Drosophila melanogaster: one gene and its partner. The protein of the gene in region 1 purifies or fractionates together with the protein of each later gene. This does not show direct contact. Each region holds a gene or a part of one and is shown on either strand. Other genes may lie near its edges. The genes, in order: CG1492 and Nubpl.

Evidence for each region.
Region 2: the proteins of CG1492 (region 1) and Nubpl purify together in Drosophila melanogaster (affinity purification with mass spectrometry, with the first as the bait; one large-scale study listed by BioGRID). This does not show direct contact.

Annotation. Positions count from the first base shown.
Region 1 is NC_004354.4:12,003,041-12,017,953, reverse strand, and holds CG1492 (uncharacterized protein), read left to right. Parts: upstream 1-5,742; 5' UTR 5,743-5,869; coding exon 5,870-5,960; intron 5,961-6,020; coding exon 6,021-7,006; intron 7,007-7,087; coding exon 7,088-7,281; intron 7,282-7,352; coding exon 7,353-7,860; 3' UTR 7,861-8,168; downstream 8,169-14,913. Other genes in the region: Chrac-16 (chromatin accessibility complex 16kD protein), read left to right, coding at 81-503; regucalcin, read right to left, coding at 983-1,175, 1,233-1,951, 2,388-2,435; CG1806 (uncharacterized protein), read right to left, coding at 8,169-8,322, 8,382-8,713, 8,780-8,931, 9,058-9,184, 9,250-9,684.
Region 2 is NT_033779.5:22,231,806-22,249,382, forward strand, and holds Nubpl (NUBP iron-sulfur cluster assembly factor, mitochondrial), read left to right. Parts: upstream 1-8,110; 5' UTR 8,111-8,126; coding exon 8,127-8,298; intron 8,299-8,348; coding exon 8,349-9,058; 3' UTR 9,059-15,183; downstream 15,184-17,577. Other genes in the region: RpL21 (ribosomal protein L21), read right to left, coding at 15,421-15,900. UniProt on the Drosophila melanogaster protein: Iron-sulfur cluster transfer protein involved in the assembly of the mitochondrial membrane respiratory chain NADH dehydrogenase (Complex I). May deliver one or more Fe-S clusters to complex I subunits.

The DNA of each region.
Region 1 (14,913 bases):
TTCACAGCTCCACTTGTGAGCCCAGCTCTAAAACCAAAAAAATTCCCAAGCCATAGTTTGCTTGGGAATTAAGTAAACAAATGGGCGAACCAAGGAGCCAACCACCCGTGGAGCGTCCACCGACCGCGGAAACCTTTCTGCCCCTCAGCCGCGTGCGAACGATCATGAAGAGCTCCATGGACACGGGCTTGATCACCAACGAGGTGCTCTTCCTGATGACCAAGTGCACGGAGCTATTCGTTCGCCATTTGGCGGGCGCGGCATACACGGAGGAATTCGGCCAGCGACCGGGCGAAGCGCTCAAGTACGAGCATCTCTCCCAGGTGGTCAATAAGAACAAGAATCTGGAGTTTCTGCTGCAGATCGTGCCGCAAAAGATCCGTGTACACCAGTTCCAGGAGATGCTGCGGCTAAATCGCTCCGCCGGCAGCGACGACGACGATGACGACGACGATGATGACGATGAAGAAGAGTCCGAATCGGAATCGGAGTCTGATGAATAGACGGTCATGCAGATGTTTATCTACACCGAAATTGAGTGGATGATCTCCATTCACCAAAACATCGACTGATTTTTTACGCCACCTTGCTATCTTTAATTTTAGACTAGACGATAAGTATAAAATTGTTTATAGAACCACTGATTAATAAAGAAGCATAAGAGCACTGCGTCCTCCAAATGACCATAAGATCCGCGGATGATTACCGTGTGTCTGCGGCTGATAAGATTGTTGTTTGAAATCAGAGTAAAGTAGAGCATAGTCAACCTCTTTGTGAGTTTACATGATGATCCTGGATATTCCCAGGAGAGAATGTGATCCTTAAGCTGACCTTGAACTAGAACTGCAAAAAAGGATAACCTAACTAGCATGCAAAACATTGATAGACGCGATTTAAAACGTTAAAGAGCATAACATATAATTGCACTTGGATTCGATTGGTACATTTTACTGCGGCTAAGGATAGATAGAGATTGCAGCTCCTAGACCTTCAGGTTGACGCCGGGATAGCCGGTGGCGTTCAGTCCGGTCACCTTGTAGGTGGTGCCAGCTGGAGCGGGCTGATCGAACTTGGCGGCAGTGGTCACGTACAGGATGTCCAAGTTGGGGCCACCGAAGGCGGCGGAGGTAATCTGTTTGGTTGGGAACTTGATCTCAAGCAGAATCTTGCCAGTGCTGCAATGAAGTACGACATTTAACACTCGATCACGAATGTTAGAGTGAACTACTCACTTGGGATTAACCTTGTAGATGGTGGCGCCATTGAAGGTGGCCACATACAGGTTGCCCTCGGTATCGATGGTCAGGCCATCGGGCAGCAGATGATCCTTGGGACTATTCTTGCGCAGATTGAATATAACCTTGGGATTGCTAGCCACGCCGGTCTCGAAATCATAGTCATACGACTTCACCTCGTAGTCGGTGGTATCGATGTAGTAGAACTTCTTGGCCTTCTCGTCCCATGCCAGTCCATTGGAGATGCCCACATCGCCCTTGATCACCGACACCTGGCCACCGGCCTCCCAGCGGTACAGCTCGCCGTGACGGAACTCGAACTCATCGCCAATGTAGCGCATGGTGCCGCCAAAGAAGCGACCACGGGGATCAACCTTGGCGTCGTTCAAACGATTCTTCTCCATCAGTGGCTGCACCTCGAACAGTGTGCGCACCACCTTGGCGCTGGGCGAGACGCCATCCCAGTTGACGATCACCACGCGTCGACCGCAGCCGACGGCGAATTCCTGCGGACGTCCCTCCACCGGCAGCACGAATCCGGCCAAGGTTTCGCCCTCGATCTTTGTCTTGTAGACCTTGTTCTGCGCATAGTCGTAGCGGAGCAGGCTGCCTGCCTCCAAATCCACGTAGTACAGGCTCTGCCTGGCCACATCCCAATGGGGACCCTCGCCCAGGCCGGCGTAGGAATCGGGCAATGGTTCCACCTTGTACGACATCTGTTGGCGAAATTGGGAACAACCGATTTGCGATTAGTGCATCTAATTGATTTTATATGGATTTATAGTGGATATAAAGTGGCATTTGGAATGCATTATAGCACTTCATGGTTATCATTATCATGGTTGCCATTTTAATTAGATTTTAAATTGAATTAAACAATTAAGAAGTACAGAGAATTCGAATTTAGATGTAGGATTAAATCAGAAAATTACGCACAAAAGCGAAAAACTAATAATTCAAACTGTCAACATTGCGATAAAATAGAATTATCAGGATAATTTATATGCGAGCAATGAGCAATTAAATTAATCATTTAATTTAATTTAAATATTCATTTAAATATGCGATTTTTTGTAGAGTTTCAAACACTTGACTTTCGTAACACTTTTTTTCTTCAATTTCTTTAGTTGGTCCTACTTATAGACGCAGTACCGTTAGGCCGAAAAGGCACACTGCAATCACGGGAATCAGTAACATCATCTTGCGCTCGTTGGCTCCGAATCCAAACTGAGCCCAAAGCCATCGCTCGGAGTTGCTTTTATTACCTCCAGACCAGGGGCTTGACATTACTGGCTGAGAATCGGCGGCATCGTCATCATCGCAAGCGGAACACAATGCGAGATTATTTATTTACTTCCATTTCCATGTTTTAAGTTCAATTTTTCCAAAGGCCGACGGTGGAGCACAATGGAGTTTTTTTTTTTCGATTGTAACATATGCCACTTTCCGGTTTTATATTTTTAATCAATTTAGTAAAAAGTATTTCCAATTTAAATACATACAATTAACATGTTTTTTTCTGTATGCAAAGCTACAATTTTTCGTTAGCTTTATCGAGCAATGGTTCCACTGTGCGTTGCAGCTGTGCTCTTGTGACGTCATGCCCTTCACTTACACTCACATACTCAACAAAAGCAAAAGCAACAACAACAACAACAACAGATGCTGCGATTAACTTTTAAGTTTGATTGCGCCTGGCATTTAGCGATTTTTAATTGACTTTTGTTGTCATTCGGCTGCTGTTATTGAATTGGTCAAGTGGAGACCTTAAAGAGATGCTCACTGGCAGGCACTTCTGTTATCGGACACATGTAGAGGGCACAGTGGGGCAAGAGCGTTCGAAAATGCCAAATTCACAAGTAGCTGCTCAGATGTGTGGAGCATGTGAAAATAATTGAGTACTTAATCCGTGCTGAAGTCTCTCATTTCGAAATTTTTTTAATACAAAAAAAAAAAAAAAATTTAAAAAAAAAGGGAAAAAGTTTTTGAATAGCACATTTAATAGAAGGAAAATATTCGAGCTATATTTTTTACCAAATTTAAATTTAATTTGTGCAAGCTCATAAATTTCTATTTAATTTTAATAATGCTTCCGTTTTTTCGAAAAAGTCTTCAGTATAAACTATGCCTTCTTTTTCGCATCACTTTAACACACTTGAAAAAAAAAAACGGGGAACGCTTGCAGGAGAGCACCTACCTTGGAGATAGCTTAAGCTTGAGCTGAGAGATGGGGAATCGAGAATAGAGAATCGAGAATCCTTGGACACGGCTCCGTTGAGTAGCGCGTTCAAACTGAATGCCACCCGATCCGGCCCAATTCTTATATACCCCAGCTGGCACGGGCGTGACACACAATCTCGCCAAAACCTCCTCCACCTCCACCTCCTCTACTCCGCCTCCACCTTCACCTCCTCCTCCTTCGCCCACTGATAAGCGGAGAATTGGAGGGCTGGATAGCCCGGCCTGATAACAGAGCAACAGAAGTCGCCAACGGGCAAATTAACCCGATGGCAAATTGCAAAAAAAAAAATATTCCAAAACAGATTGCGAAAGTGCAGCATTACAGTTTTGAAAAGCGTAATGAGAAGTTTTCGAGTTTAAGCAGCTCAAAGTTTGAACACTTTTTGAACAGAAAACAGAAACTGAAGCCTAAATGTTAGGAAATGATTTTCAGAATAATTAGGCTCCCTAAATTTATAAAAGTATCTTAGTAATAATGAAAAATGAAATTTTCAAACCAAATTTAACCTGTGTGTTTTTAAGTGCAACATTAAGATTAAACTAACTAATCAACTTCAATTTTCAGCTGGCTAAACTTAACTTTTCACCTGACTTTAACTAATCATAAAACTGAAACTTAAGCTGAGCAGATTTAGTAAAAGTTATGGGGTTAATTTCTACAATAATAAATGCACAGGAGTGGGCGAGTGGCGATAAATTTAAATTTAAATTTTAAACTTGAAACTTTCTCAATGTTTCTCATTTCTTGAGCGCATTTCTATGCTTCCGCTGGACGAGAGATAAGTTGCAGCTCGGCGGCGATAAATCGCATCTGAGCCACTGTGCCAAAGTGCCAAAGGATGGATCTCCAAGTACATGGTGCATGCGGTGGCATGGCGCGGCATCTAGTGGTCCATGGTATCAGCTGCCCAAGTGACCTCCACAGTGCCAAGTTATTTATGGCGCATCTCCCGCTGCCCTTTGCACCCAGACCATGGTATGGGTATGGTATGGTTTGGAATTGGGCATGGGCATGGGCATGGTACTGGGAACCATGACTGGACAGAATCCAAATTCAAGTCCGAATCTGAACGGTCCAAGAGATGGATTGCTTATCGGCAGACGGTTGGCATACAGGTTTGCCCCCTGACTGGTGTTTTTCTATTTTCAGCGGTACTTTATTTACCGAATTGTTATTTAATTAATTGCTGTAAGATTTATGGGCATTATTGATAAGGAAAGCGCGACCTTTTACCAACCAAATTCGCTAGGGTCGTGAGCAATAAATCTAAATAAATCGTAATCCAAATGCTAAGCACTTGAATGTTCATTTTGTTTGTAATTTTAAAACAGCTGTTGGAAGCTAATTATTACTTTTCGTTGTGTTGGACTGTTGCTAGAGGTATGATTTTAAATGGGAATATAGATTATTTAGCTTCTATTGATAATATGTATCTAAAGAAGTTATTTTAAATGGTTCTGTTCTTTATATTACAATCCCAAGCCAAAAAACGCCTTCAAACCGCACGAAAAACGCGCCGAACGCGTAAAGTCGCGTCCAAAACGCGTCTGAATAAAATATATTTTACCGTTTCGCTTTGGTTCATTTTTGCGCGATTTTTGTGCGATTTTGGGGCGTTTTGCTTTTGGATAAGTCTGAACTTAACTTTAAAGCATAAAAAATACGATATATGTTATAAATGTTATATATGTTATGTTATATGTTTGCTTATATTTATATACGTAAATAGATTTTTGGATTGAAAACATATTGTTGCCGAACTACCGTTACATTCAAAAAGATTGGCAACGCAATGTAAGAAGTAAACAGCGCTTGGTGAAACGGTTTTTTGTTGTTGTTTTCATCGATAATGTTATTGCCCCCTGTTCTATGTCAAGGTTATAATAATTGTGCAAATTAGACAGATTTGCAGCGTCTGTGCATCACCTTGCAACCTGTGGTTACTTACTGAAGATAAGCAATTAGCAAATCACAATTAACTACGGTTAAATTAAGCAAGATAATTACTAAACAAAACGGTAAAAGAAAAGATAAAAGATAGAACAACAAAAACGCTCTATGGGGTCAGCTGGTGCCTTAAAGGGCTGCCACCTTCTACACTCATTGGAGTTGCCAGCTGTCTGGCAACGCGCATACGCTGACACTCGATAACAAGGGGCACACATTTTAAATTAAAACGCGCGAAATTCGGCTTGGTATATTGAACGTAAGGCGGTCGAGTTTTTTCAAAATTTTAGTATATTCGATTATTTTGGCCTATCGACGGCAGTATGACCACTAGAAAACAGCAGAGAACAGCTGTTTTTTGAAATGAAAAGGATATGGATATTTCCATTTGAACTGCAATGGTGCGGCAATGGGGTTGAGAACAATGTAAATCTAGGTGCTAGCGATGTACATTAGGATAGGATTGAATAGTTTGATATCCGTGGTGATTGTCATCCTGGTGGCAGTCTATATCTACCGGTATCCGGACGGAAATGGTGGGTACAACGACCAGGAAGCAGCTCCTTGCCCACAATTAATTCACATTTCTGTTCTAGCTGGCAAAAAGAAGGCGTCCAGGAGACCGCCAAATCCGGAGGATCCACTGCCGCCCTCCAATTCGCCGCTCCATCGATTCTCCCGGGCGGCCATTTGCTCCGACAGCGATGTGTGCAGCCAATTGGCCAAAAAAGTCCTGGAGAATGGAGGAAGTGCTGTGGATGGCGCCTTGGCTGCTCTCATTTGCAACGGACTCATCGGGATGCAGAGCATGGGCATCGGTGGCGGCATGGTGATGAATGTTTATGTGGCCAAGGAGAACAAATCCTACAGCATTCTGGCCAGGGAAATGGCGCCGCTGGCATTGCGTGCGGATAACTTCTCGTCATTTCGCGATGAGCAGGATTTCAAGAGATCCGGATGGTCCATTGCCGTGCCAGCTGAATTGGCCGGTTATGCGGTGGCCCACCAGAGATTCGGGCGGCTAAAGTGGAAGGATTTGGTGCTGCCAACTTTGGAATTGTGTCGTCGTGGCTATCGATTGTATAAGCACCAGTATGATGCGCTCATACTCAATCAGGACATGATCAGGGCCGATTCCGGCCTACGCCGGATGTTCATCGATCCCGACACCGGGCGCTTCTGGCCATTGGGTCATCTCATTCGCCCTGCGGCTCAATTGTGCAACACCTACGATCGGTTGGCCAACGAGGGACCACTCAGTTTCTACCGCGGATCTATCGCCGATGATCTGCTGGCCGACTTGAAGGACGCGGGCAGTGCAATAACTAAGGAAGACCTCAACCAAGCGCACGCCAAATTGAGTAGCGCCATTGTGATGCCACTGGATGAGTATGATCTCCATTTGACTCCTCCACCTGGAAGTGGTCACGTTCTCGGCTTCATAATGAACATACTAAAGGAGTTCCGGGCGGAATTCTCAAGAGCCGGAACTATGAGCCCACGTCAAATCCATTTGATGGTCGAGGCAATGAAGTTTGGATTCGTCAAGCGATGGCAACTGGATGAATCCGCGAGCGAAGAGGTGAGCATATTTCCATCTCTTTCGAATTCGTGTGAAATTGATTAATAATATACCCTTTATATTCGTTGATTTATCCTACAGCTTTTGTCGAATTTGACCAGTCATGAATTGGCAAAATCCGTGGCCAGGCAAATTAACCACACACACACCTTTAACCGACCAGAGTTCTATGGAGCTTCACCTGGAATTCAAATACGTGATGAGCACGGCACAGCGCACACTTCAGTGCTCCATGGAAACGATGCAGTTTCAGTGACAAGCTCCATCAATTTCTAGTAATTATATATTAAGAATCTTATTTATATATATTCCTATATATATATATATATCCCATTTCATTTTGCAGTTTTGGCAGTGGACGAACTGGCAGGCGCACAGGTGTCATCTTTAACAATGCCATGTCGGATTTCTCCATCGAACAGCTCAAGAACTACTTCGATCTGCCCTTCGTGCCTGGCACGAATGGTGTAGCTCCTGCCGCCCGTCCCATGTCCTCCATGTGTCCAGTGATTGTCACGGAACGCGCCACTGGCAACGTTCGCTTGGTTGTGGGTGCCGCTGGCGGTACCAAAATAATCTCTGCCCTCTCTCCCCTCCTCGTGCGCATCCTGTGGCAGGAGGCAAGCATCAAGGCCGCCATCGATGCCAGCCGCATCCATCATCAAATGCTGCCCAATGTTCTGCTCTACGAGTATGGACTACGGCAGAGCTATGTGGATAGCTTGGCGGAGAGGGGACATCGATGCGAGCGTTATGAGAACCGCGGTTCCGTCATCTGTGGAATCGCTCAAGCTAACGACACCATCTGGGTGAACTCGGATTTTCGGAAGCCAGGTGGAGTTAGTGGATTTTAAAAAAGTCGAATTCTTTTCACAAACTATACCAAACATATAGTATTTACACAAAGTATTAATTATGTTTTCCAGCAGAAACTTATTCAAACACGTTAATTGCTCAAATATGAATGAATTAACAAATTATTTTTCAATAAGTTAGTATTTAGTTTTTTTTTAGATGCTATCGCACGAAAGCAAACAGTATTTGTTTTTAAACGTTGTGTTACTTTAATGGTACTTAGATATAAAAAATAATTTATTTGTAATTTGTATCAGTTGCTAAAAATAATTTAAGTAGTATGTTGAATTTAAGTTACAATATATCCCTACACAGACGTGTAAAAGTGTTCTCGCTTGCGGTGGCAACAAATAAATAACGTTATGTATAAGAATGTTGCAACAATGCCCAAAGTGTTGAGCGCCATGGAGAAGGCGAGCAGATACTTCCATTCGATCCGAAGCTCGGCACAACCATCGTTTCTAGAAATGAGAATATTCTCAATGCCAATGTTTAAGTATAACTGCAGTTCGAAACTTACTGTGACGCCTCCTCCTGACCAACTGCAAATGCCATTGGAGCCTCGGAGGAGTAGTTGGCCACCACCTCACCTGCCGCCAAGCAGGTGCAATTGTGATAGCTAAGCAATGAGCTCGATGTTGGTCCACATTCTCCGTCTGCGGATGAGATGAGCTCCGCGAACTCAATTGCCGCACAGACGAGGGCCAAGCAGCAGAAGATCAACGCCAGGCCAGTGAACACATACGACTCGGCCAGCAGGACCTTGTAGCAACTATTGGTCTGCGGTCTGTGCTCCGTGATCTTGTGATCCCTTCGCAGCAGTATGAGCCCCGCAATGCTGGCCAATAGCAGCTGAGCGAGAGGTAAGTTCATTCTTATTATACATACTAATCCAACCATTCCACACATTCATCTTACCGACAATCCACTCAGATACGGATTGATCAATATGGACGCATTGGGGGCTAGGATTAGTATCCAAACGGCAAGACCCACGATGAACAGGCCCACAGCTAATTGCATAACCAGAAGCTGGCGAGATATATTCAGATTCCTGGTGGCCTGGAGACCTGTACATATAGCCAAACTTTGAGTAATTGAAATCGAAATGTGTTTGTTCTTTGCCAAATCAACAATGACTGTGTGACACCCACACACTCCATCATATAGCTTCGCTAGACAGCTGGTGTACTTACTGTCGTGGTTTTTGTGATTGACAACGATCATGCGGCTGTGCCTGAGGCTGTTGCGAGTTGGCGTATGTCGTCCGGCGATCTTCATGCCCTTCATGTTCTGCGGCACTGTGGTGCTCATGTAGACGGCCTTTTTTGGGATAAGAGTTGGACATTTGATTTGGACTTTGCGATTGCTTAGATGGCGTCAATTACCTGCGATGCCTGCGGTGCTTCCATGTCGCTGAGTGGAATCTGTTCGTAGGTGGTCGCATAGCGCAGTGCCCTACTATGATCGCTAACTGGAGCCGTCGGCTGTGCTGGTTGCGCTGGAGGATCGGGAGCAGCCACTGCCGGCAGTTCGTCGCGTTGCGGAACATTTTGATATCTTGGCTCCGGTTTGGCAATCGTCGTCACTGCTGCACTCTTACTGGCCATGGGTGACTCATAGTTGTTGATGCCGAAGAACTTGGACTTGGCATCGTTCAGAGCCGCCTTCACAGCGGCTATGCTATGGCTGGTGTGGCTGCCATTGAGCTCCACTTCGACTTCCGTTTCCGGTTCGCCAGCCATTCCGGCCGTCAGCTGCCTGGACTGAGAGACGCCCAAGTTGTCGTAGGTGCTCACGGGACGCACTTGCTGCACTGGCATGACTTCCCAATCGCCTGGCTAGATGGACATTCCGGAACTAGGAGATAACCAGGCGGAAGCAGCGCTCCAAGTGCTACGAGCATAGTACTCTCGGCTGCATTCGCTGCAAGAAAAATGTTTGTTTAGTTAACAAAACTGCAGCTACATATATGAAATATGAGTTCTTAAATAATCAAGTAATGCTTCAAGGTTTGTTGTTTTCAATAACAATTCCCACGCCTCTGGATATGCAACTATTTTCGTAAGTAAATATGAGATCCTAAATGTTTATATTTTGAGATTGCAATCTTATCAATATATTATTATTTAGTTTTTGTTATATTTTAGCTGTTTTTGAAACAATTTCTAGTTCTATTAATTCAAAGCACCGGTGCGTTAAGATTAGTCATTTTTTTCCGGTTTCATAGATTTTTCCGGTTTTTAAATGGGTCGTTGGCATCCCATTGATGATGCTCCCAATCGGCGAGAGGGAGATGCAGACATCGAGAGCGTGACAGAGAGAGAGAGAGGGAGAGAGAGGAATGATAGTTATTCACAAATTCCAGAGAACGACGATATTGGTATTTGCTGGTTTCGTTACTTGGCCAGGTTGTTGGAACTCTCAAAATTTCTGGGTTCTACAGTTACGGATCGCTGAACCGGAGTTCGTTTAATGGGAAAATACGAAGATATTTCTGCCGCTGTACAATCGATATATAAACCTCTGATTGCCAAACTCCACTACTTTCGATCTATTTAGGGACACACACATATACACACAAGCACACACATAACACACATCGAAATCAACAAAAAACATTTTTGATCGTCGGTTGGGCGGGCCAGACTAAAAAACTTTACAACTTTATAAAGAGCAAACTTGTCGTACCAACAGAAAAACGAAAATCCGATTCGGAATCGTTGCGATGGAGAACAGCGAAGGCGGGGAAAGCAGCGTTCACAAAAAAAAAAAGAAAAACTGAACTAAAAACGAACTGAAATCAAAACAAAATCGAACTGAAGCTGAACTAAAAAAATAATAAAAAATAAAAATATAAGCGGATTGGACGGATCGTGAGTGCAACTGTACGCACCAAGAGGCGAAAACAAACTAAAAATAATTCTCATCGAGCGCTTTAAAGCGAGCCATTTCCACTTATGCTCTCACATCTATGCATGTATGTGTGTACACATATGGCTACACCTCAAATACCTGAACGCACAGGTACTGCCCAACACCTCGCTCTCACTCTCTCCTACTCTCTCTCCCACTCTCTCTCGGAGAGGTAGCGAAACCCAAGCTGAGATCGCTAGAGAGAGAGAGAGTTGGGAAAAGTGCGGTCTTGTAGAAGGCATTTTAGCCAAGGTTAAAACTATTGCCCACTTTCAGTGTGTGGAAAAGCAACAGATGCTTTTCCACATTTTCGGTTTGCTGCGGAATGTGGATGGGGTAGAGCTGATCCCAGAAGAAACTAATAAATATTTAAATATATGTGAAAATATTTAATGAGTATATCTTACATCTGAGGTTTGAATATTTGGAGAATCATTTGAAGGTGGAATTTAGTGTTAATATGAATATGTATCTCCCTTTAAAATTGGAAAATATAAAAATTTTCTGCAATTATGGTCTTGTGTTATTTTATAACGCTCATGAAATTATCATGAAATTATCGCCTAATTGCGTTTTTTATCACACCATTTACATTGATAATGAACTGAAAACTTTTGAACCCATATATTTAAACATTGAGAAAATTGGCTTGTTATAAAATGTATAGCATTTCATAAGATATATGAATATAATATAATTATAGTATCTATTAGTTTATAGAACAAGCCTAAGATGTCCAGGTTTTGCCAACATTTAAATTTGTATAATATTTTACCATAGATAGATCATAAGTATTTCGTTAGTTCTGTGTTCGAAATGTAACTTGTAGATAAATTTCACCTAACACTAATTTGCCATTTAACTGGATTTGCGTATATATTAGCCGATATTCGCAAGCTTGATTATACTAAGCTTTCGGTTTGGACGGTTCAGCAATAAAAAGCTCTTATTCAAGTTGGCAAGACGTTAAGACGTTGATTAAAATGGTTAGTACGGTAGGTTTTGTTGGCCACTCTTTTGTTTAGCCCTCGATTTCAAGACCGCTGAATTGCTTTGTAGTTGTCTTTGCATTTAGCAGTTAATCTAGTTATATCATTACATAAAAATGTTAAATAATATATGCCAACTGAAGCATTGCAATGCTGCTGGCTCAAAAGACCATAAACTGACGTCAGATGGGTGAAAAAAAAATAGGGGGACTGTTTTCACGTCGAAGATGACGACAAAGCCTGGTCAACGGACCAATGCAACTTTGCGAAATGTTGCGGAATAATGATAATAAATTGTTAATCATGCGCAATGTTGGATTGAGAATGAATCGAAAATGTTACGTTGACAGATATGCGATTTCAAAAATTCCGCTTCCCACAAAAAGCTGAGAAATTTGACTTCCCTTTTCCGCTAGCTGAACTATAATCGCCAGTTTCGTTTATAGATTTTTCTTTATAGTTTCAGAGCTTCGTTTTTTGTTGCCAAAATAGCACTTTGTCATTGCGGTATATTGAACCTGGAATTAGGACAACTATAGAAATAAAATCCGAAAGTCCGTTCGTCACCTTTTTAACTTGTACAATTTGCCACAGTTTGCGACTTAGAACGTTGGGCATTGCCAATTATCGGTATTAAAACAGAATACGGCTACTATTATGATCCAGTTTTAGTACGGGTTTTAAGTCGCACTTCTTTCATTAACGTGTACTCGGCTTGGGTTACTTTGCTGGGAATCAACTAGCCAGCGAAGTTTTGAAAACGTGGAAGCCGAAGTTTGTATACCCTTTTCCCAAAAATTATAACTACTGGAGCTAAGATTTTCAGTTAAGATAATTCTTTTCTTGTGATAGAATATTAAATTGTGTTTAAAAATAACCATTTTATGGAGCTTTCGAGTTAGTAAACTTATAATTAAACTTATGATTAGGCCAACATTTCTAAGAACAAAAAGGGACACAAGATTAATTAGCAAAACTTGTTTGATGCCAAAAGAAAGACTGTTTCTGATTTTGGTCACGCGCCTTTTCGCCCCCGCTAATTGCGAAATTTACCCAAAATTTTTTATAGCTTAGCCATTTTGGCATCATAAGTTTATACGCCATATACAATTCTAAACAATCAATCTATCCAAATACGGACTTTCTAAAAAGATTCTTTCCAACAGATAGATAGATTCCTGAAGAAAGGTGCGGCTAGCATCTGGTGGATATGGAAAAGCGCGTTTTCCTTGATGGATCGGATGAACTGCCTCGGTGGAGGGGGCTGAAGGGGCAGCGAAGGTATAGTATATAGCGTATGGAACGCTTGGATCGGATCGACTCTCGAGCGAATTGTGTAAAGCTCTGCGATTGCGCATATTGTGTTTCGCGTTGCGTCGGCAACGACGCCACAATGCAAAGACAGCCAAGCGACCAGCGAAAAGCAACCGCCATTCGTCGAGCGGTAAATAAGGCTACTACACTGCGAGAAAAAGTCACAATAAAAACCAAAATATATGCATTAGGATCTTCCATCAAAACATGTTAGTTAGCACTTGTAAAATGCGCACAATTACAAAAATAAAGAGAAGTTGCAAGCATAATATATAAAATATTACATATATAATTACATCTAGACTTGTGCAATTAAATAACTTTAGATTCAGAACCGATTGAGTGGATAACTGTAAAGTTCGCTTTCGGATCGAAGTGATAAGAAAAGTGTGGGAGAACCACAATGTTTTCTAAGTTATCTGCAAGCTGCTTACTTTCTGCCGTTCCAGAATGTGTTAACTATTTTGCGAAAATCTAGTAACTTTTGAGAATGTCTTTGTTTGTCAAGTGTAAGCGGCGAACGGTCAGCCAAGCAAACAACCTACCACCAATCAACCTCATGTTGGTGACCATGCACAATGGGCGCTACTGAGCGTATTTTCCATTTTGGCCAGCTTATTAAGTGGTTCAACTGAAATGGGTAACAAAAGCTGTATAACCTTGGAAATATCGGGAGTATTGTACTGGAGAAAATTCTGTAACTATATAGGACCTTATAGGAATAATAACTTATAAATGGTAAAAGCTCCTGTTTTCATCCCATGGTTGGTTCCATTGGCGAGTCGTCGCTGCACATGCGCAGTTCGTGTCGCATGGGATCGTATGGCGTCGGTTCGGTTCGGTTCGGCTCGGCTCGGTTCGGGTTAGTTCGGCTTGGTTCGGATGGATTCGGCTTGGTGCAGACTGATACTTGATACAGCTTGGAGTGTGGTTCGTTACAAACTTCTGTGGGACATTAAAACCAGTTATAAGCCAACTTTCATTCCAAGCAGACGTGCTGGGAGTTTCGCATCGGAAAGCGGCGGTTTTTTGTTTCGCCGTTGCAGTAGCAACAGCAACAGCAGCAGCGTTAACTCGTGCAAATGCAGCCAGGTCGCCCAAAACGAGAAATAAGTTCACGTTCATAGGTATAGCCATTAATTTTTCCCATTTTCCTCGGCAATCCAATTCAGCCGCAAACCCAAGCCGCGCTCTTTTCGCCTTTTTTTTTCTATATTTTTTATATTTATTTTTATTTTTTTCCTGTGTGTGGTTACTGTTTTGTGTATATTTTTGTTTTAGTGGTTTTCATAGTGTTTCTTTTCTTCTTTTTTTTTTTTTTTGTTTGTTTTTTGTGTGTGAACTGGTCAGAGATTCAGTGAGTTTGCTTGTCTTACAGCTCCCACCCAGAAAAAACGGCTAAATCCGGTCATATTGAATCATGGCTGAGATATGAATGTTAGCAGTTCACGATTTATACGTACGTATGTGCACATACACATACTATATATGCAAATAATAAAATCGGGAATGTTTCTGATCGAGTGTTGTGCTTGTGTGTGTGTGTGTGTGTGCCCCAATATTTCTAGTTCTCAATCGAGCCAAAAAAAATAAAAACCGTGTACTTTCACACACAACTCAAATTAGCACCAACCAAAATCGAATTAGAGTGCCCAAGCCGAAACTTTCCTAATTCTCCACCAGAGGCTATATCCACAGTAGCCGATAATTAGTGAAAGATATTGACATACATATATAAGATAGTGGCCTGGCTCTCGCACGAAAGTTGTACCGGATGGTACCCAGTTTCAAGTTTTCAGATCCATATCCCCGGGGCGAAGTGAAACCAAGTCC
Region 2 (17,577 bases), on another chromosome or scaffold:
TTCTTTATAGTGACTGCGTTTAGAGCCCGATAGTCCACGCAAAGCCTCCGTTCTCCATTTGCCTTTGGCACCAATATTGCTGATGCTGCATGCGTTGACTTGCTCCTTTCAATTATCCCGTACTTCAGTAAGTCACCTATTATCGTAGTCATCATCTCCCTTTGGGCAAACGGCACTTGATATCGCCGCCCCAAGATGGCTTTCGTAGTGGATACCTCTATATCCATCTTCGTCGTTTTTCACCTGCCAATATTTGACAAATCTTCGGCAAAACACTCTTTATAGCTCTTTAATAGATCGCTCACCTGTTCCTGGTGGTCGGGGTCAATGTCCGTGTTAACATTAAACACGACCTGCTCCGCTGCTGTCAACGTTGATCCTGAATCTTCGGCAACCAGCATTTCCTGATCGTGGCAGATGATATCTCTGCCCACGAGGACATCATATGGTAGGACTTCGTTTGGTACCACCTGAATTTGCGTGAAGAGTCTCAGTTTGCCATATGCAAACTCTGAAAGAATGCACTCCTTCGATTCGACCACAGATCCTCCAAAGCCTTTCAGACGTTTGACTCTCGGCTGCCGTATTGCTCCATCTGGCACTGCTGCTTCTTTCATTAGGGTGTTATCACTGCCCGTGTCGATGAATGCTTCAAACTGTTGGCCTCCAATAAGAACTGTTTTCATTATTGGCGGATACTCCTTGTGATGCGACTCATTCACTTGAGCCACCGTTGACGATGTTTTCACCTTGCAATCCTTTTCATTATGCCCAATCTTAGAGCATTTGGAACATCTTTCCTTTCGCTGTGGCACTGTGCATTTTGCTGCAAAGTGCCCGAAATTATTGCAATTATAACATTTAACTGCTTTCATCTTGCCATCAGCATCGTTGTATTGCTTTTCATTGATCGTTGACGCGTTGTATTGTTGTTGATGTATCTCTTATGAAAATCTCAAATTTTCCAACGACTTTAGCAGCTCTGAACAAGTGCGTATGTTCATCGCTAATAATGATTTCGTGAGTTCTTTTGAATTAAGCCCGTTGATGATATACGAATTTATTGATGGTTCATCGACACTCGCACGCCGTCCAATAGCTACCATCGCATAAAAGTATTCAATTAATGACTCGCTATTGCGTCGCTTGCGACGCATCAATTCTCTGTGCACATCGGCCGTACTCACTAAACATGGAAAATCAAGAGCGAATGCCGATTTGAATTGATCCCATGTTTTTGCTACTCCACGCATCTTATGCTGCACTGCAAACAGCACAGCGTCACTTGTCCACATGTATACGCTTTGTAGTTGCTCTACCTTTGCGATGAATTGCTCCGATGTGATAGATCCCTTGATGGGATCAAAATCCGGCAGAATTCCTATCATTTTTTTGATGCTTGTAAAACCTTGACCATGAGCTTCTAGCTGTGGCGATGAGAGCACATTTTCCGGTTGCATCCCGTTTGGCGCATGTGTGTGTCTCGATCCATCCAGCGTCTGACGTAAGCGTGTCGTTTCTTGTTCCACAGTCCCTTGTGCTTGACTTTGTTGCTGCAAGCATGCCGTTTGGACCATCGTTGCCAAGTTTGCCACCATCTCCTTAAGTTCGTTGATTTGGGCTTGCATACTTGTACTTGCGTTTTGTTCCATTATATCGTAGTCGTCTGTCTCAATTTCATCACTTTCCAGTTTCGTCATCAACTCATTGATCTTTGCCGTTTTGTTTCCTTTGACTTGGAGATCATGAGCCCTCAAGATCACGTCCAAATCCCCAATCTTTAAATCCCTTAACTTTACACGCATCTTCGAGAGCCTTTACTTCTGCACGTCTGCACTCGTTGCCGTTCTGATTCGCTCTCTCGCCAAGTTTGTCGCTCAGTCCGTCTACGTTGCTCTCTCTATTTTCCTTCTATACCTGTACCCTTTGTGGCTTCGTATGTATACTCTTTTTTTTTTTTTAACCGTTACCGTTGTTTCTTGCTTTTTCCTTTCGATCAACCGTTTGCGATTCTTTGCCTTTTGATATTCCTCGCCGTTTGTCGATCTTCCTTGGTTTCTCTCTTTGCTCTTGTACAACTGTTTTGCTATTCCGTGCCGTATTGTTGTACGTCTCTAATAAAATCGTTTACTATTCCTCTTTTCCCTTATATTTTTTTTTATTCGACGTTTGCTATATCGTGCCGTTTTTCCGAATCTCTCTTTGCTCTTGTACAACCGTTTTGCTATTCCGTGCCGTTTTGTTGTACGTCTCTAATCCAATCGTTTACTATTTAACTCGTTATCTTTAATTCACATTTTCCACTTAGAAATGAATTTGTATCCCACTTCTGAATTGTCAGGTTGATCTTCATGTTTATTCTTTTCTTTTATTAATGTGTTACAATAGTTATATGTCTTCAGTATACATTTGCCATCATCGTTCACGCAGCGAGCACACGTCCGCACTCCCTGGCATCTCGCAAGCAACTCCCCCTCTCTCATGCTCTTCCTCTTGACACAATTATTAGAATGATAACTTCATTTATAAAGTTCTGCATCAGGATTTTGAAGAATATCGAATACTTCTTTTGGGAGGAGTTTCTTTTTTCCAAACTTACTTCGATCTCTTAAACAAAGACTTTAAAGCAAAGGATCAGATGAATCCATGAATCTGAAAACATCTGTAATGTTTGCTAGTCGTCTAAATTTCATAGCGTGAGATTTTCCTTCCTTTTAAAATCAATGTTCAAAGGCCGACAATCTCACCGATTGTGGAGATGAATTTATCCAAATAACTGTTGATTTCATCTATTAGTTTTAACCAAAGACACTAGAATAACACTAGAATTCTAGTGTCTTTGGTTTTAACGGTAAAAGAAATTGATCTAGGGCGATACATTCGTTTGATAGAAAGCGTTGTTTGTACGCGCTTTGGTCCGTAGATCCATCGAAGCCATAGCTCACAAATAATGTACAATTCGTTGTGTTTGGATGTTTACAAAAAAGTTTGTAGTTCAAGCAAGTCATCAAACAGGCCTGGATCATTCGTTGATAAACAGAGTTCTGAGTCCAAGAAGATTAGCAGTGACAACAAGACACGTAAATGTTTCAAGTGCGATGATGATACCCATTTGCTAAAAGAAGAAAGGGAGAAAGATGTTGTTTGTTTTAAGTGTATCCAACCAGGACATCGCGCATCAGAGTGTAAAATAGATGGAAAAGTTAAACAGGATCAAAATACAAATGTTGTACAAGATAGGAAGGAAGAGTTAAAGCTATTAAGCATTTTCACTCCTTCAGGTTTGGAGTTGAAAACTGTGCAGTATAAGTCAATGATGTTTCAAGGATTAGTTAATACATGTGCTGACCTTTGTTTTATAGGCAGAAGTGTTTATACTAAGTTGGGCAGAAATAAGTTGACAGGCTTAGCGAAATGTTTGACTGGCATAGGTGATAGCCAGGTGCTTACATTCGGTAGCTTTGTAATTTCGGTTGAGGTAGATGGTATAGACATGCAAGTTGAATTTCACGGAGTTCCTGATGAGGATATGGGTTTTGATTCGATTGTAGGAAGAAAAATCGTAAACAGCATGGATATGAAAGTAACCAAAGGTGGCACAGAGTTTATAAGTCGAGTTGTAAACCCAAAAAAGGTTGAGAGTCAGAGAATCCAGCCATTGGGCAAAGGATCATGTGCTGAGTTGTTTGTTGAATTCAAAAGTATGTGCATGTTGGGTGCGGAGCAGGCTGACATATTTAATGAGGTTGATATGAGTAGTGTGCAAAAAGAAAAAGCTTTAAGTCTAATTGGAGATTATAAGCCAATTCGAAATTGTTCGACTCCAGTGAAGGTGAAAATACTGTTAACCGATGATTTACCAGTAATCCAACAACCAAGACGTTTGGCAGAGTGTGAACAAAAGATTGTGGATGATCAAGTTCAGGAATGGTTGTGTGACAAAATTATAAAGCCGAGTGTGTCGGAATACGCATCACCAGTGGTGCTTGTTTCGAAAAAGAATGGAAAAAAACGATTGTGTTGTGACTATCGGAAATTAAATTAAAAGATAATTCGTGATCACTTTCCAATGCCGCAGGTTGACGTTGTTATCGAAAAGTTTCAGAGTGCTTTGGTGTATACGACTTTGGATTTAATCCCAGAAATATACCTCCTTTGTAACACAAAAGGGACAGTACGAATTTCTGTATGTGCCCTTTGGTATTACAAACTCACCTTTACTCGATTCATAATGGCAGTCTTAAGGGAACTAATCAACAGTGGAGATGTAGTAGTATACATGAACGATGTGATTGTGCCCAGTAAAAATGTGTGTGAAGGATTGGTAAAGCTGGAGAAGGTGTTAAGTGTTGCCAGTGAAAATGGATTAAAAATAAATTGGTCGAAATGTCAGGTGTTGCAAAAGAAGTTAACTTTTTGGGGTATATAGTTGAGTGTGGTACTATTAAGCCTTCTGGAGAGAAGAGAAGTCCTATCGTTAATTTTCCGTTGCCAAATGATAAAAAAGGTGTTCAAAGATTCTTAGGATTGACGTCGTATTTTCGTAGATTTGTCAAAGACTTTGCAGTGACTGCTAAGCCTTTGTCGGACCTGTTAAGGCAAAATACTAAGTTTAAATTTGATGTGCTGCAGAAGGTAGCGTTTGAACAGTTGACAGTAGCATTAACTTCCCGTCCCGTATTGAAATTGTACAATCCTAAATTAGAAACGGAAATCCATACAGGCGCTTCAAAATATGGTTTCGGTGTTGTATTATTACAAAAAGACCCAGAAGATTGTTTGTTTCATCCGGTTCAATACATGAGTCGTAAGATTAACCAATGCGAAGAAAAGTATCATTCTTATGAGCTTGAGGTTCTTGCAGTTATCGGTGCATTAATGAAGTGGCGTGTGTATGTGTTAGGTTTGAAATTTAAGATTGTGACAGACTGCAACGCGTTCACTATGACGATGAAGAAGAAGGACGTTCCTTTGAGGATAGCTAGCATTATACCTTCAAGACTTTGATTATCAAATAGAACATCGCTAAGGGACGAGAATGAGACATGTTGATGCGTTGAGTAGAGTACCATGTTTTATGCTGAGCGATACTGTTGTACATCGCTTGAAACAAGCACAATTACTCGATGAACGGACGAAAGTAGTGAGAAGCCTTGTAGAAAATAAAGGGTATGAAGATTTTTATATAGAAACCCAAATGCTTTTTAAAGATCCTAATCGCGAACTTATTGTTGTACCGTCGCAGATGGAAAATGAAATAATCATGATTGCTCATAAGCAAGGACATTTTGCTGCGAAGAAAACGCAAGATTTAGTTGAGAAATCTTACTTCATACCAAAACTTAAAGAAACGGTTGCTCGTGTTGTGGACAGTTGTGTGGAGTGTATTGTATTTAATTCGAAAGCTGGGAAGAAAGAAGGTTTCTTGACCCCGATTGAAAAGGGAGATAGACCGTTGATGACGTATCACATTGACCATGTTGGGCCAATGGAGATGACGAGCAAGCGCTACAACCACATTTTAGCTATAGTTGACGGTTTTTCTAAATTTGTATGGTTGTATCCCACCCGTAGCACAGGAGCAGAGGAAGTTGTAAGTTGTCTAGAGCGTCAGGCTACTAATTTTGGAAATCCTTTACGGATTATCTCTGACTGCGTTCACTGCACAGGCATTTAAGTTGTATTGTGAGGAGCAGAAAATTCAGCATCTAGTGATTACAACAGGTGGAACTGGGTTAAAGTTGAAAGGAAAATTTCTAGGACCTTATAAAGTTGTTAAGATAAACAAGCACGCAAGGTATGACGTAGAAAAACTTGGAGAAGGCGATGGACCTTTTAGGACATCGACAGTCGCAGAATATACGAAGCCGTGGGGAAATTCATTCGGGTCGAATGATGTATCAGGAGGGCCGATTGTGGGAAATGAACAAGATCAGGGAACTAAAATGAACGATGAAAGACAGAGCAAGAGAGTAACGCGCAGTGGCAACGCTTATTAACGAAAAAACCAAAAAGGAGGGACTTCGAGTAGAATGGTGAACGAGCAAGTTTTTCAATCGCGCTATATACTTATACAACTATTATTATAAATAAAATAATAATAAGCAAGAACTATTGTCATTAAACAATATAAAGTGTACTATAAACAATTGTCATTAAACAATAAAGTAACACTATAAAGTAAAATTACTACATGTATGTTTCACTACCTATCCTTTTTTTTTAATACAAAGGCCGTTTCTGCCTGCTTCGTTTTTTTTTTCGGAATTGAAGCAGCATGTACGAGAAGTACTAATTTGCTAATTTTTTTAGGTTGAGGCTCTGCATATTCAAATGTTAACTGTTTTCGACCAGCTTTGCATAGTGTAATTTCTGGCTATGAATAACGACAACAATTTTAGACGGAAGCCACAATTAATGATTTCGTTTGAATTTCCTTAAGTGCTTGTTCACATAAGAACTAAATTGGTTCACTTTCCTTAAAATTGTAATATTTTGCTCTTTAGGCACAAAGTTCTCTTCTAAATATAACTGTTAACAGCGTCTGCATCGTTGTTGCTCCAAACACTCAGCTGCACTTCATGACTAAACTCATACACACCTACAACATAAAATGTTTCGTAAAAAAGGGCAAATTAGGAATCCAAAAATGAAAGCAGCATTAAAATATCAGTCACAAAAAAAATTACATTTATACCAAAATTTGCGGCTTTTAACCCATAGTTGCCGCAATGGCAACAATTTATTCAAGACCCTTAGTTCCTCTTTTAAAACATCCTGACGACCTTGAAGTACTAACGCCAGTGCACTTCTTAGGCACTGCCCCCCTCGCCTTGTTTGCTGAGCCTGATTTCACAAAATTAAATCTCAACCGATTGGATCGCTGGCAGCGAATCACTTACTACCAGTTAATATCTAACGCTTCTTCAGCAACGTTCCAAATGGCGAGCACAGAAGACAGACGTTCAAATCGATAATGTCCTTTTAGTAAAAGACGAAAACCTGCCACCCCTCAAATGGCCACTAGCTCGAGTAATAAATCTGATCCCTGGACTCAATGGCGTCGCACGAGTTGCTGTTCAATAGAGCCGTCGCTAAACTTTGCGTTCTACCCAAACAGGATGATGTTGTCAGCTAGAGTCCACCAACGGGGGGAGGATGTTTGGTTATGCAGCCAAACTCTTATACACTGATGACGCAATTTTGACTTACCCATTTATGGATTGTTTTTCTTTTTTATTGAAATAAAAATCTATAAACAACAAACTGCATTCTATATAAACTTTTTATTTATAGAATTGTTAAACTTTTAAGGGAAAAAAATTTCCAAAGCTCTCGCTCAAGCCGTTTTCCAAATATCTCACGTCAAATATTTTTGCTCAGGGGGCGCTAACCTGGTTTTAATTTTTATTCTGTGAAACTTGCTCATTTGGCTTCTGCATTCAGTTAACAATTAAGTGTTGATCGCACCGGTATTGCTATGATACACTTTAACTCAATCGGTTCGGTACGGGCCGCCGTTCGATATACCCTAAATAGACCCTAAAAAAAACTGAAATATTACTTGAAAAATTAACTTTAGCGTGTTTATAAATTGCCACACCACTTCTCCACCACTTGCCTCAACATGTTCTTCATCCAAGCTTGGCGAGGTTCGCCGAAAAATGTGACAGTTTAAATGTCAGCGGCAGGCAGAGACTTTTCACAGAGTAAACCGTTTTACGAGTATTCTTGTACTGCTGTTACTACTGTTGTTCCACTGTTGAGTTTTGACTGGTTTATTTGAATTACGTGGTAAACGTGGTCTAACGTGGTATTCCTATCGTAAACAAACTGCTCGCTATAGACATTCATTAGATGGGTTATAATAGTATTAATAAATATATACCGTCCAGTAAAAATACTCGCTTTCCCAGTTTTTTAATCTGCTCAATCGGTCGCTTCAGTCGCCAAAGAAAAATGCTAAATACCTAGGAATATTAATTGAGCTATCGAGAATTATCGAAAAATGACTTCGCAAAATAGGAATGATGGAAATGTGTGAGAATCGGCTATAAAGCTGTCGTCGCTGTTTTCACTATGAGTTTTATTTTTAGGATGGAAAATAAATTTATCGTTTTGTAACAATGGAGCGTCTATTGATCAACACGATATGGCGCTCCTACGCAACAAAATTAACTGGGTCCCAGGTGAAGTTAATGGCGCGGGGATTGCCTAAAAAGCAACCGATTATTGGAGTACAAGATATTATAGTCGTTGCCTCTGGAAAGGGTGGTGTTGGAAAAAGCACCGTGGCAGGTGTGTACTCACATATTTCGATTCATGGGTTATTGGAGTCCTTTTCACAGTTAATTTTGCCTGCAGCTTGGCAAAACTAGGAAAGCGAGTAGGATTGCTGGACGGGGATATCTTCGGGCCTACTATTCCACTTCTCATGAATGTCCATGGTGAGCCGGTTGTGAACGATAAGAATTTGATGATCCCGCCGCAAAACTACAATGTAAAGTGCTTGTCTATGGGCATGCTGACACCTGTAGAGACCTCTGTTATCTGGCGAGGTCCTCTTGTAATGTCAGCAATACAACGACTGCTAAAAGGTACTGATTGGGGGCTTCTAGATGTCCTAGTTATAGATACTCCACCGGGCACTGGAGATGTACATCTCTCACTATCCCAGCATGCACCTATCACAGGGGTTATCCTGGTAACAACACCTCATACTGCAGCTGTTCAGGTGACCTTGAAAGGTGCAAGCATGTACGAAAAGTTAAATGTTCCTATCTTTGGCGTAGTAGAGAACATGAAGTACACCATTTGTCAGAACTGTAATCAACGATTGGAGTTTTTTAAAGACAGCCGTATAAGTTCTCTACCGCGCAAGCTAATTTCTCTTCCGTTAGACTCACGAATAGCGGATAGCAACGAGAGTGGAGTGCCTGTTGTAATAAAATATCCGGACAGCAAGTACTCTTATCTATTTACCCAATTGGCTGAGGAGATTACACAAATACTTAACGAACAAAGATGTAATCAAAATCAAAATAACAGTGCACATTAAAAAAAATTTGTGTATATCAAAAATTCTTATTACTTACATTTGTTATGCTGTACCGCTAAAACCAATAAAGTTATCAGGGGAAAGGGACTGTTGTTTCGTTTCCCGCATTTACATTAAACAACACACCACAAAACCATGTCATGCTTCACAGCTAAGACTAAGAGAAGGTTTCAAACTAGTTCTGCTTTTTGTGGATTGATTTTTGCTGGTAGTTTCAAAAATGTAACGCCAACTAGCTGAAATCCTCTTCTGGCTTCTTTAATCTAGATTGCTCATCTTGTCTGTGACAGATACAATCTTCATGTTTAAATATGCCCTCCTATAGCAAAACGTGTCCCGGATATTAACCATCTCCACGCTTTCAAACAGGCTCTGAATTCGTGCGCTTGTGAGAATTACTATAGTATTCGCACCTCTAAATTTGGATATACACAGCCATTTCTAATGCTTTTTATCCATCCATTTATCAATGGTAAATTGTCAGTTTTGGCATCATCAACTTAAGGATGACAACCTATACTGAATTGTGATTCCGGGTTTCATTTTTATATTCATTAAATTATTATTTATTATTATTATCATTAAATATATTGCCCGAGAAAAGCGGATTGCCAAAACGAACCGATCTCTGCTCTGAAGAAGACAACGAAGCGACAATCAACTACAGACAAGGCAATACTTGTTTTTCGTAAACCTAAAACAAGGATCGAATGTCGACAAAGTACTGAAAATAACTCAACTAGGCAGACATCGAGTCACTATGGAGCGTGCGCGCCGCAGAAAAGAGTTTTACAGTCTGAAATGTCACATTTTTAGGCACTCAACGAATTATTGTCTTCAGAATCCCATCCGTGGTAAATGTGCTGGATCCCACGTTACACGAGGTCATGCTTTTAGTTTTCTTAATATTTCTATTCTCACTTTGCTCGTTTAAATGGGGCTCAACTTGAATCAAATATTGCTAAGCAATATCTGAAAGGATCAGAATCAATGCAAGACCTTAGCTTTGGGAATAAATTCCTCTAGAGAGATTCTAGAGACGAAGACGCAGAGCTAGTTTGTTGATCCATGTTGCCACGCCCACAAACCGCGCAAAACTGCCACGCCCAAATTTTTGAACCATTTTTCGACCTTTTTCTTAATTTTATTGGAACAATTTTTAAATTTGTTCTCATTTTATTCCCCAATATCAATCGCGATCCAAGAGAGCGTTCGCTCACACTTGCTGAGTAACGGGTATCTGATAGTCGGGGAACTCGACTATAGTATTCTCTCTTTTTTTATTATAATTTCATTTACTAATGTACGAAATATTTAATTGATGTCCTTCAATTTTGGGCTGCACTACACTCTAAACCAAATGCGGCGTCTCGCTCTCACTTACACTTACACATATAAAAAAACACTAACTCAAATTAATTCATTATTTCGGACCGGACCGAGATCGCTGCCTAGTTACGGAATCTCTTCGCGGTCGAAAATTTGGCCTAAAGATTTTTATCATGCATGCCAGTTTTCCGTAATTTCATTTAAATTTATGATTTTCACTTTCCCGGGCCTCAAGGCCCTGTCCTGGGGTCCCACAAAAACAGCCGCCGTCCTTCTATTTTCTATTGGTGATCCAAACGGCTTCGACTTTGTTCTCTTGCAAGACCCAGTTGATCTAGGGGTTAATATTCCGGCACTGCGTCCAAATTATATTTAAATTATGTTTTAGAGGTATCTAACCTGAATTTGCCCCGCACTCGCTTACCCTTTATTCCGAATCCAGCACCTCGATAATAATTTGAATTTTTTTAAGGAGACCCTATAGAGTCTCCGGTACAAAAGGAAAAATGGCGATCTTGATCAAGAGCCCCGAGAGAGGACATCGTCGTTACAATCCAGTACAAAGACCGGACGGAAGAGATACTGGGCAGGCAAAAGGATATAAGATATAAAAAAGCCAATGTGATCAACACAGTGGAAGTGATCGACCACACACGTACTCAGTATGGAGTTTGTATAAAGTTAAAGGGAAAGTTTTTTTTTGGAAAAGATCCTCTGAGTTCATGAAGGGGTTCGGGACGAACATCCAGCCAGGAGGGCCGAAACAAGCCAGAAGACAAGTAGGCCAAAGGTCGCGAAGTGATCGTCAGTCACAAGAGAGCGTATGAGATCAATCATATTGATGAGCAGTCGGACCCGAGATCTCAAGCGGAACACATTAAATCCCACACTTTTATAGACTCATCAAAGTGTAAGCGTTGTCATTGATTCGAAACTTTTTTTTAAATAAATTGGCGATTCCGTTATAGGATGGCTTGCATGGGATGGCTTAGTTTATTCGAAAGAAACACACGTATTGCTCGAATCATTATATACGTTGCCCCGCATGGGGCATTGAACTTATCAATACGGTTAGCATAAGTAATAAGTATCGTATTGGACTTGTCGTTAAGGTTTAACAATAACATTAACATTAATAAGTATTTATCTTCTTACAGTCGGCCCTTCCTGATTTAAATTAACGTCCTCGCTGGACGTCGTCGTCCGGAAGGCGACACCACGGTTTGAGCTTATCGGATGAGTAGACGGACTTATAATGGCGTAGAGTCCTTCGATGACATATCGATCGTTCGTTTTTACCGTTCCAGTTGCGGCAGGCTCATTCTCCACTAAGATGAGATAATCTTTTTTATACATAGTCGGAGGATTATGTTTGGCATCGTAGTATAGTCTCGCTTTGACAATATTCCGTATCTTCTCATCTTAAAATTGAATGCTAAATAGCCAGTCTCCTTCGTCGATTATGGTCTTGGATATTTTTAAGTCGGCGTTGTTCAATTCGTGCGCTGGTTCATATGGAGATCGACTAAGCACGTCCACATGTTCCTGTGGAACATGTCCTGGATGAGTAGCCACCACCGGGCTGTTCTTGGGATGAGTTCGCGTTTTCTCAATGTTGTACGTAATGCGCTGCAATCATTAATGACTTTAATACGCTTGCTATACACATAATATGTAAACCTTTCCAGCGCCTCTACAACGGCGAGAGCTTCTAGTTCGTAGCTGTGCATTTTCCTTACGACCTTCGTTGTTGACCGGCTGAAGTATGCGATTGGTAACAGCTTGTCGTTATCTCGCTGCAGGTCGATCGAACTAGCGTCTGTATGAAGTTCGTGCTCCGCGTCTACGCGGTAGATTACAAGAATCGGTTTACAACTGAGCTTCTGTTTTAATTCGTTTAATGAGTCTTCCTGCTGCTGCTGCCATTAGAAGTTGACATTTTTTCGGAACAAATTCTGGTTTCGGAAATTCGACTACATCATTTGTCTTTACTTCTCCTGGGCTAAGACAGGAGAGTTTCATTATAAAATTCGCATTTGTCGATGTTTAACGTTAAACCACATTCGCTTAATGCGCTTAAAACCACTGAAACTTTGCCAGTCATCTCATCGAAAGAGTTGCTCCAAGCGAGGATGTCGTCCATATAGTGCAACATGTTGTCTTTGCGGTGAATCTTCTGAATGCGGTCGATTTGCGATCCGCTAACAGCTAAGCTTAAAGACTGATGAATGACGAACGATACTAACACAAATATTTTTCAGAAACTTTTAATATTCGTTAATCGTAATGTTGGAGAGGTAAGAGCCGTACCAAGATGCTGAACATAGGATGGATAGGCCCAAGTCCTTTTTGAATGCGAGGGCACTAATACGCAGACGTAACAACTATATGCATTTGTTTTTATTTTTCTGTTTGTGTGCGTGTACTAAACATGCCTTCTTCTACTCTTACTGACCATATCGTTTGTATTTTCTGATCGCATTTTTTCTCATCTCATTTCTCTCATTATCTTACATAGACATCAAACAGTCTTGAATTACTTAAATATCCAAAGTAGGCATATTTAAAACAGTTAACTTTGGTACTTTTCGAATTTGTTGAACCTCCTTCCGAGCTTAGAATTCTCACCTTTATTACCTATGAGCTCTTTGTTGGGATCTTCATTCAGAACGTCGTTCACTACATTGAGCCTTTCACATGTCGGTCAACGCAAAACTTACATGTCACAACTTATCCCCGAAATCTCTCTAAAGCATAACTGCTTTTAATCCAAACTTACATACATCTGTATAAATCTCTGTCTCAAGTGATCGTAAAGCTTTAGAACTTTTCCTTTGATTAACGCTATTTTTAACATTTCAAATGCTCCTTAGTGCTTTTATGAAAACTCATATTTTTTTGGTACTGTCATATTTATGTCTCTAGCATATGAAATACATTCGTCGCTGTACAGTTATTCAGCTCAGCTGACCCGCAAATCCCGCAACCTAAAAAACTGTCTTTCTCCCTTTAAATCCAGTCGTATCTTATTGAACTCCAAGAGCTTCCAACGCAACAATTCCACTCCATCTCTCTTTTCTTTTTTTTTTGCCGACACCGCGGTATCGATGACAATATTTAGATTCCTCTCAGCCAACCGACGCTCGATAAGTAATGCAGGGAACGTACTCAAAAAAGTCGCCGTCGTCCTCGATCGCGCTAAAGCGAGTGAGTTATTCAAGCTGGTATTACTGCCAGTAACATGACATCGATGTGATTTTTCATATGGGCATTGGGTTTTTTAATAACAATAATTTTGTATACCAATTCTTTGAAATCATTGAAAAAATTTTTTTTGAATTATATTATTATATATTTTTAATATTTATATTATTATATATCAATGTAGTTGTATTGTGAGGCATTGGAAACAGTACGTTTGTAGTACTACTCAGATATTGGCAAATGTTACCTTAACCGAACACACATTTGAAATTTTATTCCATGTAGTTTTAGGTGATTAAGTTAAGATATCTTAATTGGACGAAAAATATTGAGCCAAGATATGGGAGTTACAATAACATTTAACGCTCTAAATATATTTAGTGAAAAGTCCTTTTCACCTGTTTGATTTCTGAATGTAAATTTGATTTCGCTAGTGTCGATACTGATTTACGTGGACCAGACCAAGATAAATTAATATCATTATTACTAGACTACTCAAGTTTATTCTTAAGTGGTATTCCACAAAGAAGAAAGAAACTCGACAACAGCGTTCACTCTTTCACTCATATACCCCCCGAGTAAACTCAGAGGTACCAATTCGGTTGCACACTTGTCGGGTAACACACCCCCTTTGGTGAAGGAGATCCTTCTAGCTTAAGCAACCACAGCCACCATGAAACTCCCAGAAGGGGGCCTACCTCGCATGAGCGATGCTCATCCCATGGTACCGATTAGGGCTGGGTTGGCCCCCTGTTACATACTTTTTAACGACTCGAGGATACCCTTTTACTCTACGAGTAACGTGTATACGTGTATAAAAACCAAATAATGTGCTATTTCAATGCTGCATCTTTTCTGTGTAGTATATTTATATTTAATAAATTGTCCATTTAATACATTTGTAATACTAATACATATATACTGAGTTTCCGAGCTTGATTACATTTCAACGAAATGCCATCTCTCTGCGGCTTATTGCAGAAATTTGTAAGCCCAACCCAGCTGCTAATATATTGCACGGTCCGTTTGGGCCGTATCCGTACATCAACGACCACGAGAGGCTTGGAAAACCTAAAGCTATCAGCTCCAAAATTAACACCAGGATCGAGGACGAAAGTAGTCCAGATACATTTTAATGGTGGAGTATTACGAAAAAATTCTTTCATAAACCAATTAAATACAGCTGATCTTTCAATTCCGATCTGAGACGACGTTGTTTTTGCTAACGCACACAAATTAAACAATTTTAGTTTTGATGGATGTCGATCAACTTCAGAGCTTCAAAACAACCTATGGGAGAGCATGACGGAGATCACGATATGGTTGGCGTATGTGGCACTGAAAGGCCACAAGCCTGATGCAAAATGTAGAAAAGGCCAAACCACAGCAGCAATTGTCAAGACTTGGCTCGTCTGGAAATGCCCTCACGTATATATTACTCCAGCACTGTCCGCAGACATAAATGTAATCAAATATTCGCCGTAGCCTTGAGGACGGATTTGATTTTATCTTTCTTAGTCTAGCAGCAATTTCGCAACTGCGAGAAACAATCTGTGAGCTACTGTGGTTTGAGTGAATAAATGTTTATAAATAAACAAGTCGAGAACATTTTACTCAAAATGGTAGGTAATTAGTATCAAATGACTTTGAACATAAAAACCTTTCAATAATAAGCAGACGTTGTCGCTGATCAAAACTTTAGTTGGACGCCGACCTTATTGCAAAATGAAAATTACAAAGTCTGTTTATATTGGGCACATTTTTTTTGTTTACTGAAATTATATCAAATATTATTTCATTCCGTACAATTTCCGAGCAGTAAAATGCCTTTAGGCAATGAATTCGTATGGAATCGGGGCCAGAGCAATCGGTTCTTCAAGTTTCTTAACAAAGTGCGCCTTCTTCGGCTGTTCCGGCTGGCGCTTCAGACTGACCCATTGTCCCTTTTCCTTCGCCTCCTTCAGCAATCGCTCATTTTCCTTTACGCGGCGCAAAAAATCTTCGCGGCACTTGGAGTGGTGGATGTGCTCAATGCGCACATTGACCCGCTTAGCAAGGATTTTGCCTCTTACGCGTTTGTTTACTATTACACCAACGGCGTGCTGAGTCACATTGAATATGCGCCCGGTTTTGCCATGATATGCCTTATAGGGCAAACCCTTCTGTACAGCACCATGTCCCTTAATGTCAACGATGTCGCCGATCTTGAAAACCCGCATGTATGTGGACAACGGAATAACTCCATGCTTTCGGAAGGGACGGGAAAACATGTCCCGTGTGCCGCGACGATAGCCCTTTGAGTTGGTCATTTTTATTTATAATCCCCTATAAAAAAGAGGCTTATTAGATCTTTTTCAAGTCATAATGAAGAAATATTCAACAAAACTCGTTGAACTTACGTCCACGCGGTCGTATAGTTGAGAAAAGAAAGAAAGATGGCTACTTGAATAGCGTTGCCACTGATAGCAATTAAGAGTTTAGAAACTAAATATTATGTACCGTCCACACTAAGTTACACAATAAGCTTAATCTTTTAAGAGAAGCAAAATAGTCCCAAGTCTGAATATTTGGTATTAATAAGGATTTAATGCAATATTTATGTAATACATATATTTACATTATATAAAAACATTATATATAAAATTGCACTACATACAAATGTCTAGATACAAATAATCGCTGAGAGAAGTGTTCAACTCCAAGACGTTAATATGCGCTATGGGAATAATTTGTGATTTAAGCGAATTTGTTGATACAATTTTGAAGATACATATAACCTTAAGGAAGATAAAGTCCTGCCCCATTTAATAATTTTAATTTTCAGGAACCGTTCTGCCTAAGTCTTTACTACCGTGGGACTTACTCAGTATTAATTTGCTCCCTTTTAAGAAAAGTCATTCATGATCTGATAATCGTAATTTTTTTCGAATTCGATTTAGCCAAAATCTTTTGATTTCTTTTTTAGGTGCTCTGCTTTTGGAAAATTTGTTCTATAGTTTGGATATCGCAATATGCATTCAGCGGTAAACAGCTGTTTAAGCTGTTCCAGACAACATAGCTGCCACATATTTCATAGTTTTAATTACGATGTCCGCAATTTCTTTTTTGTGGCACTTTGACCACTTAAGTAATTAAATCAAATAGAATTATTTACAAACAACACTATTGGCTCTCCTTTAAATAAATTAATGAATTCCTTCTATATATTTTATATGCCTGTTTCGTTTCACCAACAATGTTTGACCCCTTGACAAATCCAAACTTTTGTTGCCGACATCAAAATTTTGTTAGTCAAATCTGAAGTGGCGTCAGCAATAAAAATTTTATTAAATAAATTAGTGGCAGAATGATCTTGTTATGATGTGCAATAAGCATCAATAGACCACTGAGTAAACTATTTCTTCTCTTGAGTAAATAAGTTCTGTTTTAATATGAAAAAAGGCATTTACTTTTCATTTCGTGTGTCCGCTTTACATATCGAAAAAATCGTAAAAAAAAAACCGAATAATAATTAATAATTAATTTTATAAAAGCCACTCATATAAATATTTAACAGCATATATGTACATGCCACACTGTTCATTTCTTAGCGTAATGAAATAGTTTAATAAGAAATATATGAATCTATATAGGCGAGATCCGCATAATTCATCGTCATAGGATAAATTGTTTTTTTTTTTTCTGGAATCTAATTTCAAAGATTGTAGTAGTTTCAGCGCGAAACATCGATGTTTTTCACAAAAATCGTGGATGTAACATCGAAGTTTTCCGATGTTCTCTAAAATAAAATTAATATTATCATTTACACTTGAAATATAAGAAAAAAGATTTAAATATTATTAAATTCATTTAATTTAATATGTAGAATAAATTAAATATAAAACGTATAATAAAATTACAATATAAAATCAATTAGATTTAAACTGGTATAACTGGTTATATTAGAAAATTAAAAATCAGTGAGAGCTGTTCAAACAGTTGCATTT